Linked DNA regions of Astyanax mexicanus. The protein of the gene in region 2 binds, or shares a complex with, the protein of the main gene of each other region. Links are inferred from orthologs where the notes say so. Each region holds a gene or a part of one and is shown on either strand. Other genes may lie near its edges. The genes, in order: virma, rbm15b and mettl3.

Region 1 (7,078 bases), on a different chromosome or scaffold from region 2:
AGTTTACAATGACTGTCCTCTAATATAATTAACAATGTTTAAGAATATAAAATACTTCCTGAACAAACGTTTTTTTTTTGTTTGTTTTTTTAAGCAAATAGCCTAAGTGTGAAAACACAAACAGCAATTTACTGGGCTGGCTTGCGCAGCGGAGAAACCGTGCAGCAGCAGCCTCCTAGCCTGCTTACGCAGCGGATAAGCCGCGTGTGGGGCAGCAGAAATTCCGGGATGAAAACACAAAGAAATCTGAGCTAAAAACACAGAAAAAATATGGGGGATAAAAACACCAAAAATCCGGGGTGAATATGTCTCGTCGGTCAGAGCAAATTGAACATTTTTCAGTGGATTAAAGGGGCCGTGATTTGCTTTTTTTTATTTATTTTTTTTACCTCTTTTTTTAAAAACGAATATTCGAATATTCGCTTCGAATCAGTGCCGAATATCCGGAGCTCAAAAAACGCTATTCGGGCCAGCCCTAGATACCAGCATCATTAAAACTCAAGAGAACAGCACATTGTTTCTATACATCAGATTGTACAGATATGAAGCCATTCACATTTCTCCCACATTCTAATCATGAATATACTGTATGGACAAAAGTATTTGGACACATGCTCATTTACGGTTTTGTCTGAAATCTATGGTATTAATAAGTTTATCCTGCAATTGTTTTTTTGCAGGGAAGACTTTTTTTGGAGGATTGCTGTGATTTCATTTGTGATGACCGATATTGATTTTAAGGGCCTTTATTCAATGATAAACGTGTTGTTGTAAACTCTGGATAACCATCACCGCTTAAATTTACCCTCAACTCATGGAAATGTACTGGATGGAGCACAATAATTTCTAAAAACACAAGGGGGATTTTCCCCTGTGAAACCCATGCCTGGTAGTAGGCATGGTGCCAATATGTTTATGTTAATCTGCTCCAGGGAGTCTCTATAGTTTCTATACATGGAATAGACAAGCTCTCTGGGTGTGTCTGCATTTGCACATTTGTATTACCAATGGTTGCAAATTAAATAGCTAAATGTTACTTTAATGCTGTGTGTGTAAAGCACAGTTTCCTGATTTCCCTGCTATAACAGGTCTACTAAACCAGACAATTAACAGGTGAGTTAAATAAGGTTTGCATGAGCAGGTAAAGCAAGAATACTGTACAGCAATCTGGCCCTCTGGATTTGCCCATACTGTGCGTTAGCGGTGTGCCATATCGTATCGTACATGATATCGCCAATAGTTTTATATATTGTGAACGATATTATACCCTATGATATTAAATATCGTGCCACATCACCCATCCCTAATTATCACATCAGAGTACTACTTCTTTCTGTTTTTAGCAAAAGAAAAAGTCACACTGATCTCATTTACTATTATATATCTACTAGAGACAGATTAGATCTGTCCAGTATAATTTTTTTTACTTTAATCCTGAATATGGAAATAATGTTAGTGCATTATTAGTATCATGACATTCTGGATCGTTGACTTCTTTCACAAATCTGATTAAATTATTTTTTTAATATCTCAGTTAGCCATATCATATTGCAAGCAATAATAAACTTCTAAATATTTTTTCTAATTCAGTGTTTTGTCATATCGTCAAAAGTATCGTTATTGTAAAAAAAAAAAAACATGAATATCGTGATATTATTTTAGAGCCATATCGCCCACCCATACTGTGCATAAATGGAAGAACATTTAGATTCATACTCTAATAAATGTGCTGCATCGCTACTTATTAAAATTTTAAAGCGGTTATGAATCATTCCTTCAAAGGTAGATGGCACTTTGATTAAGCTGCCTTATCACAGAGTGAATCAAGCGATCAAGCTGATCTTATAAGAAGACCTTGCGTGCTCCTGTTCTGCCTTTCACTCTGAGAACTTTCCACTGCTTTAATAACGTTAATGATGTTAATAATTGCATAACACAGTAATGTACATTTACTTTCAGTTCTTGTGTAGCATATTTTAAATAAATTACTTGCAGTACTTGAGTACAGAAAATGTTGAATACTTAATACCACTTTTTTTAGATAGAGCACTTTGTACTTTAACTTAAGACTGGGTCTCTAGTACGTTATACATGCTTGACCCCTACATACTGAACTAAAATGAATACGCTACTAATGGTTAATTTTTAGGAGTTGAGTTACAGTGGATCAGGATTTCTCATGCCCTGCACATTTAGCTGTTTCCCCCACCTTAACACACCCAATGCTGAGGTGTGAATGAGATGAAGTTAGCTCAGGAGTGTTGGGAGCAGGGAAAACACACAAAAAAGGTGTAGATCTAAGAAAATGCTGAGAAACAATGCAGTAACTTAAATGGGTTCATCTACTTAGCTAGCTTTGGGTGCAGCTTGGCTGTGTTTTTTTTTCACCTGCATCAGTGATGTGGTTGTGGTAATGGCTGAAGACCACAAAAAGCCATGCGCTCAATGTTAAAAACACAGTTATACTGCTAGCAAGCTTCATAATGCATTATAATGGCTTTTTGAATAATCGAACTTAAACATGCAACTTACGTTAACTTAACTTAGGGGATATCGTGTAAGCTATGTTAGCTAACCTACACTGGCTAACTTATTTGGCTAATTTCTCTCTCTCTCTCTCTCTCTCTCTCTCTCTCTCTGGCTGCAAGTTATATTACTTTTCTACAGAAATAGCTTTACACAGAGTGTAATTATAATTTCAGACATTTAAATACCCTCTTAATAACGTCTCAGACTAAGTAAACATATAGCTAAACCTAGTAAAGCTATTTATCTATGTAAGGAATAGGGCTGCAGGCTAGATTAGCTTAGCTTAGGTAGGCTAGGCTAACACAGCCGGTTAGCCCGCCCGCTAGCTGAGAGAAAGCACAGGCCCGTTTACCCCTAAAACCAGGTATTTAGAGGTGAGCGCGGTGCCCGAAGTGAGCCGCGTTAATAAGGAATAAGCCGTGATCATTACCTCGGCGCTCTGGTGTTTAAACGTGTCTAAAAACAGAAGCTCCATTGAGGGATCCCCCGCCATGTTTCTCCGTCACATTTGAACATCCGCCGGGGAAAAGTCAGCTCCGGGGATCACTAGCAACATCCGGGTACATCTCAGTTTGCTACATGCGGCCTACTTAGTGCACTAGGTAGGGCGGTGCTAAGGACTCCCACGCTGCGTACATACTAGTGACTAGGGTTCGTTCACATAACCTGGCTGAAGTGACTCAAATCCGATATTTGGTCAATGTGGCTCAGATCCAATTGTTTTCATGGCTGTGTGAACGTGCCAAATTCAAATCAGATTTAAGTCACTTTCATATGTGGTCCTAAATCGGTTACATACCCGATTCATGAACATGCGAGATGTGTCTTTTTGCTTTTACGCATGCGCTACGTGCTTTTCTCTCTTACCCAAACATCTCTTGGTGCAGCTGAGCAGCAATAGCTGAAAAAACAGCAAAAGCAAGCAGCCTACTCTTTTATCACCTCCTCAACCTGAGCATGTATTTCAGACCAGCTGTTTACTGTTTCTCCACTGCAGCAAAAGATGCTCCACATATGAGCTGCTTACTCATCCATTTCACCTTTATAAAGCTACAAGTCATCTCTCAAATATGAGTTTTGTTGTTGGTGAAAAAGGCGACGTTTATACACGTATCAATGTGCGCATGTGAGACGTTTCAGCGACAAATTTGTTCACATTACACACAGATACAGCTCAGATACATTTGTGAATATGGAGCCCCTAAGGTGACATCATGTTAAAAAATAATAATAATTTGTGGCCACAACATATTAAGACAATTAAGGCGTGAGAACGAGATCCTAATGTGTGGGAACAAGATAATTAAAGCGTGTGAATGAGATAATTAAGTCGTAGCCACACAATAATAAAACTTTCTTTTCTGTAAATTAATGCCCATTAACAAGACTGAATATTACACCAAAGCTCCAATTCAAGGATAATCTTTTGTAAGAAAATGATGAGTAAATGGGTTTCTTTTTATTTAATCTTAAAATGATTTATTAGTCTCTTGCAGTAGGGGCTCTGTAGACTAAAGAGTTTTAAGTACAAGGTTTAATAATCAATATTTTACATTTAGTGATCTTCTTCATTGGGGAAGTCATTTATCGGTAACATGGTGCAATTTAAAGGGGATAGGGAGGTATATGAGATTATGATTTGCCCACTTGGATACTGTATAACACTGTCATAAACTATATTGTAGTATAACAAAGGGTAATATAGCAGCAAAAGCTATTTTAAACCATTTAAAAGCCAATCTCATAAAATATGGCAAACTAACACTATTTTGGTTGTATTACATATTTTAAGGTTGATGATGTAAAAAACATCTTAAAAACAACCTTTATTTAACATAAACTAATAGGCCTAATGGTTAAGGTTGAAATTCTGACATTGAATCAAAGTTCATTTAAAGGTTTTATATTGTTAGGGCTCTGAATCTCCATTCACAGTAATGCTTTTAGGTGGAAGGTGCTCCGCACAAATAATAATATTATTAATTTAGAATATATTATTTGATTATTATATTATTTAAGAATAGAATACAAACAAAATATACATATTTAATGTAAGTAAATATTAATAAAAACCACAAATATAAAACCATACGACGTAAAATCAGTGTGCACAAATAAATCAATTCCGAGTTTTGAGGTCAGTGTTGTTTCCATGCATTAGCAATTGAAAAGTGAACACTGATTCAATGTCTGTTTGCCATCTTTTTCTTAACCATTGTAACACATACATGACTTATACTGTGTACTGTAATTAATATGAACTGTGAAAGGCAGAAAATCTTACTGTTGATTAACAGCATTTTTTAAAATATTGTTTTACATCTGCTTTTTCCATTCACATTTTTGGAAGTAATTTACATTTTTATATTAAATGAATACATCATGTTTTAATCTATAGTACACACACTGGATACTGCTGTATATGTACTACAGATCTGTGGACCATTTTAAATTATAGATACTACAGATAAAGCATTATTAACAGCAGTTGTTTTACATTTACATCATATTTCTTCCATTCTATTAAAATGACAGTCTTTTTTTTTTGCTTTCACTCTATTTTCCAATTAGCAATATGTGTTAATAGTACTCACATTGGGTACTCCTGTGTGTGAACTACAGATCTGTGGATCATTTTCTATTGTTGCAAACAAAACTCTTGATGAAGAGAGGAGTCATCTTATGCAATTTTCCTGTATGATTTTTTCTGTTGTTTTTTTTTTGTTTTTTGTTTTTTGCGGAGAGTGTCTGTTGGAACTTTTAACCCAGATTAGATGCTGCCACTATTCAGCATGACAGGTAGTTCTTCTGGAAGAATGGCCAAATTTTCCTTTTGAAATTGCTCAAAACAGGTATAACTACATTCCAAGGAGGGCTGAAGCTCTGCTGAAGACAGAAACACAAGTCAAACTGGGCATTATTAATACAGTCTCACCGTGGGTGTTGTGCCCAGCCACAGAAATTTACACCTTTTCTAATTATTTTACACACATTTTATCCTCAAATTTAGTAAGTAATTTACTCCAATTAAATCACTCTGGCACAATAAAATTAGATTAGTGAAGAGTGAATTCCCCATATATTGTAGTGGACTTTTAAAAATTAAACTTTGTGCCTAAATTTCCTTCGGGATAAATAAAAATAAAAATAAATCTATCTATCTATCTACAAAATTTACTGATGGTCAGTGATGGTTTGGAGAATCATGTCATCTGCTGGTGTTGATCCACTGTGTGAAAATCTTACAGCACGTCATGCTTCCCTCTGCTGACAACTTTTGTGGAGATGTGAATTTCATTTTCCAGCAGTCCACTCTGCCAAAAGTACAAATTTGTTTTTATATAATATTCTATATATGTTTTATATAATAATCTTCTGAGATACTGATTTTTGGGGTTTTATTGGCTGTAAGTCATAATCATCGACAATAAAATAAATAAACACAAAAAATAGATCACTCTGTGTGTAATACATCTATATATGAGTTTCACATTTTAACTGAATTATATTGCGATGCTGTAGTAAGTCATTAGTTCAGCTACAGGCACTGGTTCACTGGGTTTTAGCCATAGGCCTACTGCAGGCCTACAGATAGAGATCCCCTCTATTCTCCTGTATACAGTATTACCCCATATATTGTATTTCTCAGTGGTGGTATTAATTCACTGTGTGTTGTTGGGGTTTATGTATATTTTCCTCCAGTGCTGTGCCACGTCCCTGTTTCCGAGCACCAATAAGAGGGCGCTCGCGGCGGCCAGGTGTGTTTTTCACCTGTGTCACGTGGGCGGTGGCCAGGTAGGGCAAGGCAGATCACACACAAAAACGAGCACAGGCGAGCAGCCATTACTCCCGGACTGGCGGACATTCGCTTCAGCATCGCTTCAGCATCGCTTCAGCAGAGATAAACGGGGGAAATAAGGAGCGAAACCGCTGAGTTTACCTGTCCATAGGTGTGGGGTGTGTGGGGCCCTCACTTCACTTCCGTCACCTGGAGTCGGTGGCTGGGGATTTCTTCACCTTTCTGACGCTTAGAGTTATTTTTATTTCCACTGTTTCTCTTTTAAAAATGACGGTAAATCCAGAGAACTTGGTGCTGTTCTTCACCACGACGTGCGGGGCGAGCGGCGAGCTGCTGGGGTCAGACGAAACCGAGGCGGTGCAGCTAGTCTGGCAGGTCCTCAATTTAGTCACTAAAAAGGTGAGAGATGGTTTATTCGCTTTGAGATTATTATTTATCTTCTCATTTATGTATTTAAAGACCATGTTGAGAAGATGATGATGAAGACTATAGGTACACTCGTTTTTAAGAATTTACATTTTTTTTTACACCATAAACATAATTGTAGTCAGCCAACTAAAGCTACTATATTAGCATGTCAACAGTGACAGAAACCTCAACACTGACAGAAACCTAAAACTGTTGGTTTGTCTCTTTTAACCATCACACAGGCATAACCCTTTCAGACCCTACATCCATTACAGTGGACATCATGTTGTTTCTTTTATTTTTTATGTTTCCCCTCGGGGATCAATAAAGTATCTATCTATC
Region 2 (7,903 bases):
CACTATTACGTAGTTTATCAAAAGTCAGGAAAGTTTGTCAAATATAGAAAAATCAGATCAAATACCAGCAGGACCAGAACTGGGAAACACTGAAATTTACAGATTTTTGAGAAGACAGTGGTATTCTTTTAAGTTTGGACCTGTGTGTGTGTGTTTTAAACAGCACTGCACTATAAAAGGACTATTAAAGTGAATCTTTAACGACCACAATGACCAAGTGATCCTCCTCTATTTTGCCCAAAGTTTTAAGAGCAGTCTGAAGGTACTGTTGGGAGAACTCACAGGGGGGGAAGGCGTACAGCATGCCCCCCGTTTCACGTTCCTTGGGTCCTCCGATTGGCAGACTGATCACGCCAGCTGCCTGCTTGTTTCTGAGGTAGGTGACCAGGTTGCGCAGAAGGCGTTTCTGGATTCCAGGTTCCAGAGGAGGCGAGTCCTGGTCCATGGGGCCCTGGACGGCCAGGAGGACGGTGTAGCCGTCGGGGCTGCCCAGCTTGATGCGGCGGGTCACCTCATCCAGCTTGGGCTGGTCCAGTCGGAGTCGCTGGGCTATCTTGAGCTGTGTGATCTTGGCACTGCCCGCTTGGTTGTCTTTCATGAGGGAAAGGAAGAAGCTGGCCCCTCCTTCCAGGATGTGCATGTTGGTGGGGAAGCTGCTGTTTTTCAGCACCAGGGAGCCGTGCCACACTCTGCTGATGGTCTGGGCGTATTCTGAGAGCGTGCTGGGCTTTTTGGGCTCGCTCTTGAACTTTTTCACCTGCTGATCTAAGTCTGCATCACTTTTGCGGTGGTTCCGCTCATGTTCTCCTCCTTTACGATGCTTGTTTGAATCCTCCTGCAACAGCAACTGAGCTCGCTCGTCTCCGGACTGGCGGCTGCTGTCAGGTGTGTGGCTTTGGGGCTCTGAGGTGGAGTCAGGAAGGCGGCCACGTGCCCGGTCTGGACTGTCGTCTGGGGTTGCAGGGGCACCTGCTCTCACCCTGGTGCGCCCCCTGTCCTCATACAGCCTGTCACTTGGACTGATGCTGCGACTTCGGCTCCGACGCTTACGTCGTTCGTCCAAACCTTTGCGATCAGAGTCTCTGTCCTTGGTCCATCGCTCCCTGCTGCGACTGCGGGCTCGTCCCCGCCCAAAAGCTTCTGTGTTAGTTCTGCGTTCCACGCTTTTAGGAGGACTCCATTCACGTTCACGCTCTCGTTCCCTCTCTGCGAAAAGTGGGTGGGAGGGTGAACGAGCACGAGCCCTAAGTTCTCTCTCCAAGCTGCGGTGGCGGCTGTAACCTTCGCTAAGTGGCTCAAAAGGTGGCGGCAAAGGAAGAGGCAGCTGGTACTGCTGCGGGTATGCTCGTACTTCCTCAGCTTTGGCAAAGTCCACTCGTAGCCTGCGGTTTGGGCCACCCAGTGGGAATCCACGCATCTGGGCACATGCTGCTTGGGCTGCATCCAGGCTTTCATAGTGGATGTAGGCAAAATTGTCCCCCTTTACATAGTCAATGGTACGGATGCTCCCAAAGCGATCAAACTCTCTAGCCAAGGCGGCCAGAGACACATTCGGGCCTAAGCCGCCCACCCAAAGGCGTGTGGTGGGATTGGCCTTGCCGTATCCAATTTTCACCTGGTTGCCCCCGAACACTCGTCCCTGCATGGCTACCTTGGCCCTGTGAGCCATGTCCAGGTTCTGGAATTTAATAAAAGCATATGCACACCCTTGCCCACGCGCTGGCCGCTTTATCACCACCTCCTCGATGACGCCGTACTTCTCAAAGCCCTGCCTGAGCTCTGCTTCAGACACGTTGTGATCCAGGTTGCCGATGAACAAGTTCCGAGTCGCTCTCTGATCGTCCTCTGGTTTCAGGTCCTCCTCCACCTGCAGCTGCAACGCCAGTGCCCGGCTCCTCTCCTCCAAAGCGCTGTAGTAGTCCAGGAGGCGCTCCCTCTCCCTGGCGAGCCCAACGACACCCTCAGCATAGTGCCTGGCCCGGGTATCGCGGATGGCACTGCCACCTGGCCCTGGCGAGAGCGAGCGCTGCCTATAGAGGTAGGCAGGGTGTAGCAAGGGAGCGTAGGCCACATCAGGAGGCGTGCAGCTGCGGCGGCGGACGTACACAGGCTCGACCCGAAGTGCCCGGTCCCCCAGCACCAGGCGGGTCCTGGCGTGGCGTGCTTCCCGTGCGCTCTCTACTTGCCTGAAGTTCACATAGGCTACCCGTCCAAGCTCAGGTGTGTGGGAGAGCTTTACACTGACATCTCCGAACTTCTTGAACTTGTGGAAGAGCTCATCCTCTATGTGCTCATCTGACAGGTGGGAGCCTAGGTTGCTGACCAGCAGGGTTTTGTACTCGAGGCCACTGCTGCTGCTGCTACTGCTGCCACCGCCACTGCCACTACTGCTGCCACCACTGCCAGCCCCGCCCCCAGCCACCCGGCCACCGAGCATCTCGGCGCCTGCAGACCCTTTACCTTTCCCACCTGGTCTCAAGCCCGAGCGCGCGGAAAGGGCACCGGCGTCGTGGTGCAGCCGATGGTGCGCGCTGCTCTCTCCTCCGCGCGCCTCACGTTTTCCATAGCAACCGCTCCGAGTGTCCGCGAGCAGCAGCGCGAGCGGCGGCGACGGTAGGAGGGCACCGGGAGGCGCGGCGACCGCGGAGGCGATGATGGCATCCTCTCCTCGTCTGCCCTCGCGCTCGCGGTCTCGCTCCCGTTCGCGCTCTCTCTCGCGCTCCCGGATCCGTTTGGCGGCAGCTCGCGCCGGGCTCGTGTCCCGCTCGGCCTGCCGCTTCATCCTCCTCCCTGCAAACTTTTGGCGGCGGAGGAAAAAAAACCGGGGCGACACCAAACAGCTCCGGTCCACACCGCGCGCTCACGCCGCGCGAGCGATGGGCGTCACGCGCGTTCCGCCGGACGCGGAGAGAGATACGGGGACGGAGCTTCAGCGGGAAAACATCAAACAAACGCGCCGAAAACACCAGCATCACAGAAGCTGCACCCGCGCCGCCATCTTGGACAATGGGAGCGTGCGCGCGCGCCGCCGTTGGTAGGAGGAGCACAGACGCACGTGACTCGGACGTCACTGGGATACGTCCCAAATCGCATCCTCATAGCCTTAATAGTGTGCCTAAGCAGTGGCCTAGATGGCGATTCTCAGGGTTTAACGCATTATGAAGCACATGGTTCATTTGGTAGTTTACATTTATTATTAATTAGGAAACTTGCAAATAGATTAATTTATAACATAAATATTTAAAGCTTGTATTTTCTGAAAAATGTCCCATATCATATGACCTCTTTTGAATTGTGCAAATATTCTATATAAATACATATCTATAAACATGTTTATTCAGACTTTATATAATATATACACTTATTGACTAGTTTTCGACAAATAAAAATGCCATAAATCCATATATATTTTGAAGTTTTTCAATGTTATATGAATCCCTTTTCTTTTTTTAATGTTTTTTTTTTGTTTTGTTTTTATTTATTTATTTATTTTACATTGTACGTTTTTTTTATATTTTTGTAATTATGGTTGTTTGTTACCTAAGTATGGATTGTATGTTGTGCAAAAAAACAAAAAACAAACCAAAGCACGGGGTTAAATTGGTTAGTAGTTTAAATGTATGTATTATTAATGATGAAGTACGCAAACAAATACATGAATAAAATAAAAACATTTAAAGCTTTTGATTCCTGACCAGTATCACGTCAATTTATTTAAGTAAACTTTAAAATATACTAATTTAAATGAAATACAGTTGTGGTCAAAAGTTTACATACACTTGTAAAAAAACATAATGTTATGGCTGTCTTGAGTTTTCAATAAGTTCTACAACTCTTATTTTTCTGTGATAGAGTGATCGGAACACATACATGTTTGTCACAAAAAACAGTCATAAAATTTGGTTCTTTCATAAATTTATTATGGGTCTGCTGAAAATGTCACCAAATCTGCTGGGTCAAAAATATACATACAGCAACATTACTATTTGGTTACATGTCCCTTGGCCATTTTCACGGCAACTAGGCGCTTTTGGTAGCCATCCACAAGCTCCTGGCAAGCTTCAGGTCGAATGTTTGACCACTCTTCTTGACAGAATTGGTGCAGTTCAGCTAAATGTGATGGTTTTCTTGCATGAACCCGTTTCTTTAGCACTGTCCACATGTTCTCAATGGGGTTTAAGTCAGGACTTTGGGAAGGCCATTCTAAAACCTTAATTCTAGCCTGGTTTAGCCATTCCTTTACCACTTTTGATGTGTGTTTTGGGTCATTGTCTTGTTGGAACACCCAACTGCGCCCAAGACCCAACCTTCGGGCTGATGGTTTTAAGTTTTCCTGCAGAATTTGGAGGTAATCCTCCTTCTTCATTATCCCATTTACTTTCTGCAAAGAACCAGTTCCACTGGCAGCAAAACATCCCCAGAGCGTAATACTACCACCACCATGCTTGACAGTAGGCATGGTGTTCCTGGGATTAAAGGCCTCACCTTTTCTCCTCCAAACATATTGCTGGGTGTTGTGGCCAAACAGCTCAATTTTTGTTTCGTCTGACCAGAGAACTTTCCTCCAGAAGGTTTTATCTTTGTCCATGTGATCAGCAGCAAACTTCAGCCGAGTCTTAAGGTGCCTTTTCTGGAGCAAGGGCTTCTTTCTTGCACGGCAGCCTCTCAGTCCATGGCGATGTAAAACACGCTTGACTGTGGAGACTGACACCTGTGTTCCATCAGCTTCCAAATCCTTGCAGACCTGCTTCTTGGTGATTCTTGGTTGACTCTTGACCATCCTGACCAATCTCCTCTCGGCAGCATGTGATAGCTTGCGTTTTCTTCCTGATCGTGGCAGTGACACAACTGTTCCATGCACTTTATACTTGCGTATAATTGTCTGCACAGTTGCTCTTGGGACCTGTAGCTGCTTTGAAATGGCTCCAAGTGACTTCCCTGACTTGTTCAAGTCAATAATTCGCTTTTTCAGATCCACACTGAGTTCCTTTGACTTTCCCATTGTAGCTTTTGTAGCTGAGTCTAATCACTGGGTCAAATGAGCCCTATTTAAATGGGCTCATGAGAAGTCAACAGCTGTAGTCAATCAGAATCACTTACAAGAAGTGAAGAGGCCATGACATGAAGCTAATTTGATTGACACAACTCGCTACATCACCAAAATTGACAAATTTTGTTGCTGTATGTATATTTTTGACCCAGCAGATTTGGTGACATTTTCAGCAGACCCATAATAAATTTATGAAAGAACCAAATTTTATGACTGTTTTTTGTGACAAACATGTATGTGTTCCGATCACTCTATCACAGAAAAATAAGAGTTGTAGAACTTATTGAAAACTCAAGACAGCCATAACATTATGTTTTTTTACAAGTGTATGTAAACTTTTGACCACAACTGTAAATATAGACATCAAAAGTACGCATCCCAAATCGCACACTCGTAGCCTTAATAGTGTGCCTAAGTACAGGGCCTAGATGTCGATTTTCAGGATCTGATGTATTATAGGACATATGGTTAGTTAATATTGTTAATCTTATTAAATATGAAAATTATTGACACACATTTATGAAAAATTTAAAAACAAATATCAGCATTTGGCCATGTCCCCAAAAATGACTTCTGACTTAATTATTTGAGTACACTGTTAAAGTGCCAGTTTTAAAGGTAAATTTATGATATTTGGCATCCCACACTCATAGCCTAAATAGTGAGCCTACGTAGTGGCCTAGATGGTGATTCTTGTCATTTGATTCATTTAGAGGAATATATTAATGTGATGAGAGTTAGGGCTGCACAATATAGTGTTTTAGCATCAGTATTGCAATGTGCACAAGCATAATAGTCACCTTGCAGGAGAGGAAATGTCAAATATTGTCAGATCTGCACAATATTATTAATTATGCTTATGGATTGGCACCATCGTATATTACAGATTATATTATATTACAGATTTCAATTAATGTTGTTTTAATAATTGATTCATTTTTTATTTACTTATTTCAATACTTCATAGCTAAAACCTTTTTAATCTTATTTTACATTTGATTTTCTTTGCCCCTTTTGTAGTTTCAGTGAATTTCTAAATAACTTATTTTTTAGTACTCAATTTTTATATTTTCTTATTCTAGAGAGTGCAATACCAATATTGTGCAGCCCTAATATGTTCTATACTTGTACAATAAAACAAAATGACTTCTAATACACTAAAATAACTATATTCTTTCAATATCTTCCTTTCAAAGGGTATTGTTGGTGATCACCAAAATCCTGGAAGTGGGAACTACAGTGGATAGAGAGCACGTTACACAGGGGATCAGTCTCCAGGCTTCTTTCAGATTAAGGTATGTGTGGAAGTAGTCAGGGCATTTAAACCTTGCAAATATTAAAGCTTAAGCTTGTCATTTTATATAATAACTTCAAGGTTTCTATATAATTATCAATATTTGTTGCATCTCAAACTGTAAAAATCAAAAGCTAATGCTACACTTCTTTAGCCTATTAGTACATATTAAGTTTACACCACTTTAAACCGGTTCAAACACCTTATTTCAGAAAGAATCCAAACATTCAGGATCAAAACCAGAGCAGATAAAAACAGGAGCACACCACTAATATCTGCCGTTACACAAGAAACAAGAATTGGGTTCATTTTCTTTTTTTAATGAAAAAGTATAGTACAACTGTAATAAACATGTTTTACAGTGAAGTCCATTTGAATTGAACCACGTTTAGTAGATGGATCACCTTAATCATCCTCCTCAACTTCGGTCTGTTTTAATATAATAATAAATCAAATCATATAAAATAAAAAAGCCCTGTCCCTTTATCAAAAATAAAGAAACTACAGTGTTTTGTAATATCACCCCAAATCTATACACCATATCTCTGTATAAACATTCACTACACTGGTATGAATGCTGTATCAAAGTTAAGTGCACTAAAAATAAAAGGGAAAATAAAGTTTAAAGTGAGGCTGGATGTAAAGCGAGGCTTCGGCCCAAAGCTGAAACATACACAGGTCTGAACATTTTTATTTCTTTATTTTTTTTACTTTTTAGGCATGGGTCACCAATCCACCTTTTTCTTTAGATCTTTTGGTTTTTCGAGTTTTTAGCATTATCCGGATGGGATTAGTTAATATTCTATGTCTTTTATGGGGGGGTTTTATCCTCTGTGATTTTATTCCCATCCAGAACGATCATGTACGTGTTCTAAGATAAAAAATTACAGGCTGAATTATCTACTGTTTTTCTCTGAACTCCGTGCCCCTCCGGTAATTTTAGTCCCGTCCGGACACACATCTGAGTTTCGTCTCTTCGTGTTTAATGAAATAGCTATTTGTCCACTGTAGGGCACCGTAATTACACTTTGAACGCCCCACGGTTTCCACGCAGAACCGCGTTAAAAACACAACAGCGACAACTCACTGGTCCTCCTGTTTGTTTTTTCAATTGCAGTCCGGATGCAGGAGTTTTATCACTGAATAAAAGTGTGAAATATTTTTACAGACGCCCCCCTGAGAAACTAATCCCGTCCAGATAGAGCTTTTGCTTTAGTTGGATCTTATTGGTGTTTTCCACTGCGTAGTATTTTACCGACTCTACTTTTTGGTAACTGGTTTGTTTCTCAATACCATCATCACTACGCCATCTTCAGAGCAGAGAGACAGCACAGGAAGGTTTATACTACTAAATCAGGTCAATTTAGAGTCTACAATATAGCCTACACAAGTGGCTCATGCTATTGTGAGCATTTATACTTGTGCATTTGTGTTTCTGCCTCATTTTTCTCCCAAATTTTAGCTATGCAGAATATCCCACCCACTCAGCTGCACTCCTGCTATTGCTAACAATGCCCCAACACCAGGAGGGTAAAGGCTAGCACATGCCTCCTCCAATA
Region 3 (7,947 bases), on a different chromosome or scaffold from region 2:
TATGGAAGCAGGTGTTCAAAAAGGAGCAGTCACCCAAGCTCTCGTCTGTGTGCTTGTTGATGATTCGCCTACGGAAGTTATATGATTATTTCAGAAACTGATCCTTGACTTAGCTGATGAAATCTTTATATACTTAACCCAAACTGCTACCCTTATAGGATCACATTCACAATGTGTTTTATATAGTTTCTTTTACATATTTCAACATATTTATGGGTGTCTCTTCTGTCTGACCTGGATCTGATCTGAACATGTTTAATATATTATATATATTTAATCATAATTTTCATATGTTTATAGAAATGTTCTTTTAATGTTTCTGCACGTACTTGCAGAGTTTTTCCTCATACCAAATCTTGCCCTACACAAATAGCCATAAACTGAACACAACAAAATTGTATAAATATATAATTGCAGCAGAGAATATGACTTTATGTTTAGAGATGCTGGTGTAGTGGACCTACCTGAAATGCAGCTTGTTACATGGCTGCGGAGTATCTCCATAACGCATACACTCCTCTTTAGTCCCATGATCACAGAACTCCTGCACCTGTGCTCGACCTCGTGAACGGAACTTCTCCACGATGGACTGCTCCCTCGCTGAGCTGGTGTTCAACAGCTCAAGGATCTCCCTGCTCACCTATCATACACAGATACACACATATAGTTAATCAGTTTTACTTTGTCTGTTATTGGACATATCAACCTTGAATCAGCAGATTTCAGAAAATATCATATTCATGTGACATTTCAAATGTCATACTTCATTGCATGCATTTCTGGGCCTATTCAATATGATGTTTGTATATTGTGTTTAACCTTTGGTTAAACCAGGTATTAATACAAGGATATTTAATAACAATATATGGTATATTAATACAATACATTACATATACAATACAGAGTGTAAAATTCCACTTAGTATTAGGGACAGTAAAATGTGCTCTTCTCAGTCGTACAAATTAATTTGTGGTACATTTTGTTAGACATAATCACCATGCATTTAAATGATTGGTTGTGATTATTATTTTATTCATAGCTGGTAAATCTCCAAGATTTATGCCATAGACAATTTGTTGATTGACAAAAGAGCACTGAGATGTGGGTAATAAATATTACATTTTGAAAGATGGTTGTTAAGATGTAGGAAGCTACCTTTTTGCTTTGCTGTTCTTTGGTTGACTGCTGGCTCAACAGGCTCTCGATCTCCATATCCATATGAGATGCCTTCCCCTTATTGGTTCGACCTTTTTTCTCAGCCCCTCCTCCAGCACCTCCTAACTTCCAATCAGAAGTCCCAGTCTGTGAACTGGAGGGAGCAGCCAAAGATATAGATGATGTCTTGGGCGGTGAAGGTGGAGCCTGAATTGAAGGTGAGGAGCCAGGGACCCTTTTTTGATGAATGGCATCATCGCCTTTTCTTTTGACACCAGTTCTCTGAGGTTGGGAGGTGGAACTGCCAATCATGGCCCATAGTTTGGTGTGATCTACAGAGATGACTAAGGTGGACGAGGGACCAGAGGATGAAGTAGTGATGGTTGGCTGCTTGACTTCAATCAACTCTTGAGCAGAAAATTTCAGTAGAAGACTCTGGATGCATGTGTGAGTTACTGGTGCTTCAGACTGAGAGAGACAATAGGAAATAGAGGAGAGTTAGAGTACATAAATGAATATCAAATTACAGAAAATACAGTCTTTCAAACTTTAAACATAAAAAACTCAATCTTTTTACATACAGAGTTGAGCTGGTCAGTAATGGTGAGAGAATCGGTGGGCAGCGACAGGCCCAGTTCGGACAGGTATGCTAAAAGTTTTTTCTCTAATTCAGGATCAGGTGGACGCTCCACCTCTACTTGCGAAGGAGTTTGAACAGCTGGTGCAGGACTTTCACTCCTTGGTGCTGCTCCATCAGATCCTCCAGCATCTGTTAGGAAAGACACAGAAATAAACAAAGACTGCTGACTACATTATGCTCTCTGCATATTTAGTGCATATTTAATAGTTTTTTTTTTATTTTTACTGTTTGTAGAATTCTATAGTACTGTTCATCAGTGCTGACTTTGAACTTGATATCACACAGTGGACCAACACCAGCAGATGACATGTCTCTCCAAACCATCACTGATTGTGGAAACTTCACACTAGACCTCAAGCAGCTTGGACTGTGTGTATCTCCACTTTTCCTCAAGACTCTGGTCTCTTGATTCCTAAATTAAATGCAACATTTGCTGATAGTCAATGATGGTTTGGAGAGACATCACATCTGCTGGGGTTGGTCTACTGTGTTATATCAAGTCCAAAGTCATTGCAGTGTCTACTACGAGATTTTACAGCACTTGTGCTGACAACTTTTATGGAAATGCAGATTTCATTTACCAGCAGGACTTGGCACACTGCCCACACTACCACAAGTAACAATTGGTCATATATGATATTCTAATTTATATCAGACACTGATTTTTGGGTTTTTATTGGCTGTAAGTCATAATAATCAATGAAAGAAATAAACGTTAAAAATAGATTAATCTGCAGGGGAAAAAATGCTTATTTTTTTCTTCTAAAGACTTAAGACCCTTGCAGGGGTCTAGCTTCTAGCTACTGCTGTAGCTGTAAAACTTCCAGTCATTCTACATGGATTTAAACTGTATCTTTAAATGAACTAAAGCAAGCTGAACACATTCACGCGGTAAACTGGACAGAAACTGAGAGTTAAGCGCAAACAGACAGTTAGTAGTGTAGTTTAACTCAGCACAGGCTGTAAACTGTAAACACAGTACCGATAGCGAGCTGTGTGGGGTCTTTCCTCCTCCTCTGAAGCCTCTCCCGCAGAGAATCCAGCTGCTTCTTGTGAGCCTGGATGCTGCTCCACGTATCCGACATGTTAAAGGGTTAAATATCTATATTAAAGCTGTTTCAATGCTTTAAAACTCTTTAAATCCCGCTTTAACGTTACAGCCGCCAACTTAAGCTAAACAACACAGCGTGACCGCCTTCCGGTCTGCAGCGGAAACCCACAACCGGTACAAAAACCATCGCATAAGAGTCCCGGGTGGTAAAATTCTCACAGCATTCTGAACAGGTGTGGAATTCATCCCTAAACATTACATTTAAAAGGCTATATATAAAACATAAACCAATTAATATGTTATACCTTTAAAAAGACTAAAAAAAGACTAAAAAAATGTTTTAAAATGTGTTTAATTTAGTCGCTAAAATTAAACACACGAATAAACCTTTTCTGCCCAGGCCCAGTGTTTAAATATTAATCTTAATGTATTTTATTTAATGGTTTATTTAATATGTATTTAAATTATTTCAAAATATTTTAAAAACTGTGACTTTTGTAACTATATCTTTTTAAAATAGTAAGTGCTTTTTATGTTTCTTTTTTCTCGTACAAACCAATAAAACTGATCATTCTTTATCATTTTTTTTTTTATTTTAAAAGCTGTTTATAAAGTTTACAAACTGTGGTTTGATTTGAATTCAAAAAACGCAAGGTGGCCATCTAGTGGCTGATAGCCCTAGTGGATAAAACATACATTATTATAGTTCATTCTGTTATACTGTATTTTCCTAAGCAATTATCATCAGTGTTATATTAATCCTCCTGCTATCCTCAAATTAACTAACACTTTATTTCCAGTTTCACAGCAATTTAAACCCCAATTTAATTTAAAAAAATATTATAATTGCATTTTAATAAACATGTTAGCACATTTTATTTGCCAGTTACTTTATGTTGATTTGATCAATTAATAGCGATTAATTATGAATTAATTATTAGATGATAAAACTGAATGTCATAGTGACCTAAACATTATTACCACACAAATGTGTGTAAAATATTTATATTTCTTATGTTTTATGAATATGAAACAGCCTTAATAAAACATTAAAACATTAAAATGTAAAAAATATTAAACATTTTTTGTTTTACTTTTTGTCCTTATCAAACTAAGAAAAGACAATACCTATGAATCACAAAACTAATGTCAATCATTTTTTCAGAGACGTTAAACACAGAATGGGGTCACATTTGCCCCAAATATAATAGGAGGGTTAAAGCATTTTTTCCGCAATTGTGGATTATAAGCATCTTTATAATAAGAATCTTCACAAGATATATTTGACAAACAGCATCCAAGTAGCTTTGCTATGTAAAGGTATTTTAGGAAATTACTTTTATATTAAATATGAAAATGTTTAGTTGTTCCCTTCCTGGCTCCAGTGACAGTTTGAGGTGAAGCTTGCATGGAGCTGCTCGGCCATGCAAATCCATTCCATAAAGCTCTCTACACTATTCTGTTCTTGAGTCAATCTGAAACTACATGCAATTTGAAGGTCTGTGGTGAAATTTGGAGACCTCTGTGCTTTAATAGAGCAAGTTGCTTTCGTTCCCAGCTGCTTTTATTTTGTTATAATAGCACTGACAGTTGTCTTTAAATATAAGATGTTTTGGAAGCAGTCTGCATGCCTAGGTGTTTGATATTATACACCTGTGAGCATGGGAGTGATTGAAACCAGCATAGTGGCAGCATAGTGTATAGTGTATCCTAGCACCTTATGTCGTGGTTGGCTAGAGAAACTCATAACATAATTTGTTGATTTAGATCAGTGCAAAACAATCTGCAACAATCTAACAATCTGATCAGCCGTGGTTAGCTAAACTATATGGACAAAAGTAGTGGGACACCTGCTGATCTGTAAATCTAATTTAATCTGTTACTAAAACTATCTCTACTGTCCTTGGAAGGCTTTGTACTAGATTTTTGTGCACTGCTGTGAGAACTGCAATCAGTGAGGTCGGGATGTTAAATAATCTCTAGCCTTCCTCACCCAAAACTCACCAAAACACTCAAAAGTACTGGATGAAGTGCCATCATTCCAGAAAACATAGTTCCACTGCCCCACAGTTTAGTGTAAAAAAAATGGCAACTGGACAATCCAGATCCAGGTGATAATGAGGTGTTATGAGATTTATACTCTTCTAGGCATCACTTGGCATTAGGCATGGTTGCAAAAGGTTCATATTTCTCTGCTCTGGATAGTCCAATTCGATATTGCCAATTCTTTTTTTGTGTGTGCATTACTTTTTACATCTGTTTTAGCAATGGATGCAACCTAAAGTAGTTAAATTAATTAATTACAAGAGATGCCCAGAAACATTTTCACAATCTCACTATTTGATTGACTAACAAAATCATGAAGATGCTGATCTATCAGATCTATCAATCTTGCTGGTCATGCTAATTAATGAGCTTGGTGATGCTGGTCAAACATCTGGGTAATGCCAGTTCAATAACTTGGTGATGCTGGTCAGGCCAATAGATTGGTTTCCTAGCTTGGTCAGATTGATCATGCTTGTAATCCATCAAAATCTAAGAAAAACATGGTAAAAAAGGGTAAAGGGGGAAACCATAGCCAGACATTCGGCTACGGAGTTGGGGCAGGAATTAACACTACATTTTTGTACTAATTTCTACATTAGCCATATCTCTCCATTATTGATTATGTGCCATCATTATGTGCTTTTTCACACTCATAAATCAGTACCTGTTCCTACATTATCTATAGCTTTACATTATACATTATGTGCCCATCACCTTTTTTAACATTCATGACTCAGTAACCATTTTTACATTAGTTATAGCACCACATTATCTCTCTGTACTGTTGTTTTTGTTTTGTTATTTGTTTGTACATTGCGGGTCGACCAGAGGGGGATGGGTTCCTCTGACTGAGTCTTGGTTCCTCCTAAGGTATCTTTCTCTTAATGTAAGGGAGCGTTTCCTTGCCACTGTTGTCACCACAATAATTGGTATCCCTGTGGTGCTGCTCATAAGAGGCGTAGACCTGTTTTTTCTCTGTTTTGTGACTAGGTATAGCTTTTGTTGCAAAAATATATAAAATATTAATATATAAAAAAGAATTAATTAAATTGAATTGTTGTACCTTTTTACAAAACATTAGCCTGGTAAAGTTTGAGGTCTGGTATATGTCACAATTATTTAACATCATTTAATAAAATATTATCTCTTATTACATTTAAAGATCTTTAAACTCTATAAAAGATTTAAAATAAACTGAGTATGGAGTGCTGGTTAAAAAAACTAATGTACCAGTACCCCCTCTTAATCTTTTGTACTTTTGCTGAGTGCTGAGTGCATTAGTTCATGAATGTCTTCCTTTTAGCATCTTTACTCAGTAAATACCAGGTCGTGATAGGTGTACGGCAGTATATGTCAGCGTGCGCGTGTCCTTGCAGTCAGCTGGCAAGAGTACAGGATGGATCCTTATTGAGGGAGCAGTGGGCATGCAGGCCAATTAACATTTGAGTCACTTCTCGTCATTAGCAGCTTGGTGTAACAAGGACCTCATGCAGAGAGCAAGACATGCAAACATACTTTGCACTTAATCACAAGTGACGCACTTGTGGCCCTAACAGAGCTCTACGTCAGTGCACTCCTTGGCTCAGCAGCCATTAGCACCACTGATTAGAGCTTCAGGACTGGGGTCCTGGGTAGATTTGTCAGTGGTTTGAAATGGTCACTTCAGAAGGATGGCTAATGAAGAACCTTTCACAGAAGGTATTGCTCTTCTGTGCCTTTTAATTACATACGTGATTGAGTATTCTAAAAATACCTTTAATAATTAAATAAATAATTCAAATTAATTATTAATATATATTTTACATTAAAAAATAAAAATGGACTTAATAAAATAGTAACAAACAATTTCATCCTTTAAACAATAGGCAGTACAGCAGTGCATTTCGAAAAACAAATGTGCTAGAAGAACCACATTCAGTTCAGTAAAGATCCATGTTTATAATAGACGTTGTGTGTGTGACTGTGTAAACAAAGCCTTTGAATTGTTAAAGAACATTTACATCAAGTGGATGTTCTTTAGATCTATAAAAGGTTTCTCACATGTACACATCTCTGCTATATGCATCCTTCTTAAATAAATATTTGGAAGGAAATGTCTGATTGCAGTGCTATTCAGAACAAAGATAAGGGATAACAGAAACAATAAGCCATCTAAAATTTATACTGATACGGGCAACTCTCAGTCATATTTATTGACCTGCACATACAGAAGTATTGTGTAACGCATGTGTACTGCAACATACTGTAACATACATCTCAGCATGGAGTTATAGATGTTCTTAATGGTATAATCAAACCTATGCAGCTTAAATATTTTCACACAGTTCCTCCAGATTTTGTGGTAGGGATGGAGTGTTGCTAGCGCATAAAATAGTATCCTGCTTGTTTTTAATCAGAGATAGGTCTGGCAATGCATCTGACAATGGCATTGTTCTGTTGGAACTGTGCGTTGGAGTGTGTGCTTTGAAAAGGTAGGGCCACTGGTAGCAGGACCTCATTAACATAATGCTGAGCTGCTTATAATGAACACTAAAAGTGATCTGACATGGTACAAAACAAGGTACAACAGGTCTTCTGAATGTTTGTTACATAACAAAAAATGTCATGGAGCCAAAAATGGTTCTTCTATGACATTTTTTCATATTGTAATTTTTTTGTAAAATATGCAAAATATTTGTAGAGAGCTATTTGTATATATAATACATTTTTTTATTATTTTTTTTTCATTACTTTAATTTTGAATTAGGATTTTCTTTTCCCGATTAATCTTTACACCCTTATGACTTAACTAGTAGCAATTAGTAGGGTTGGATCTCTCTAATGCACTTTTTTCTAATGACACTTTTTTATGTGACCTTATCAAAGTTTTTCCCTACTGAGATATCCCCCTCCAACCCACCCACCCTGACTTTCATCCCGACACGCACCCAAACACCCACCCAGCTTATGCCCATGATGCACACTCATAAACACTTGAAAAAAACCTCCCATCCACAAACAGTGAACACAGAGCCCCCCTCTCTCCAACACCAAGCACACTCATAATCACCCGTCT

What was found.
Region 1: rbm15b (region 2) and virma share a complex: the UniProt entries of both Homo sapiens proteins name them as parts of the WMM complex. The link is inferred for Astyanax mexicanus from reciprocal best matches to the Homo sapiens genes RBM15B and VIRMA.
Region 3: rbm15b (region 2) and mettl3 share a complex: the UniProt entries of both Homo sapiens proteins name them as parts of the WMM complex. The link is inferred for Astyanax mexicanus from reciprocal best matches to the Homo sapiens genes RBM15B and METTL3.

What each region holds. Positions count from the first base shown.
Region 1 is NC_064408.1:109,657,574-109,664,651, reverse strand, and holds the start of virma (protein virilizer homolog), read right to left. Parts: upstream 3,078-7,078; 5' UTR 3,023-3,077; coding exon 2,960-3,022; intron 1-2,959. Other genes in the region: esrp1 (epithelial splicing regulatory protein 1), read left to right, coding at 6,596-6,727. UniProt on the Homo sapiens protein: Associated component of the WMM complex, a complex that mediates N6-methyladenosine (m6A) methylation of RNAs, a modification that plays a role in the efficiency of mRNA splicing and RNA processing.
Region 2 is NC_064431.1:1,414,871-1,422,773, reverse strand, and holds the start of rbm15b (putative RNA-binding protein 15B), read right to left. Parts: upstream 3,030-7,903; 5' UTR 2,783-3,029; coding exon 185-2,782; 3' UTR 1-184. UniProt on the Homo sapiens protein: RNA-binding protein that acts as a key regulator of N6-methyladenosine (m6A) methylation of RNAs, thereby regulating different processes, such as alternative splicing of mRNAs and X chromosome inactivation mediated by Xist RNA.
Region 3 is NC_064415.1:18,430,317-18,438,263, forward strand, and holds the start of mettl3 (N6-adenosine-methyltransferase subunit METTL3), read right to left. Parts: upstream 3,015-7,947; 5' UTR 2,881-3,014; coding exon 2,778-2,880; intron 1,925-2,777; coding exon 1,737-1,924; intron 1,624-1,736; coding exon 1,156-1,623; intron 641-1,155; coding exon 465-640; intron 69-464; coding exon 1-68. UniProt on the Homo sapiens protein: The METTL3-METTL14 heterodimer forms a N6-methyltransferase complex that methylates adenosine residues at the N(6) position of some RNAs and regulates various processes such as the circadian clock, differentiation of embryonic and hematopoietic stem cells, cortical neurogenesis, response to DNA damage, differentiation of T-cells and primary miRNA processing.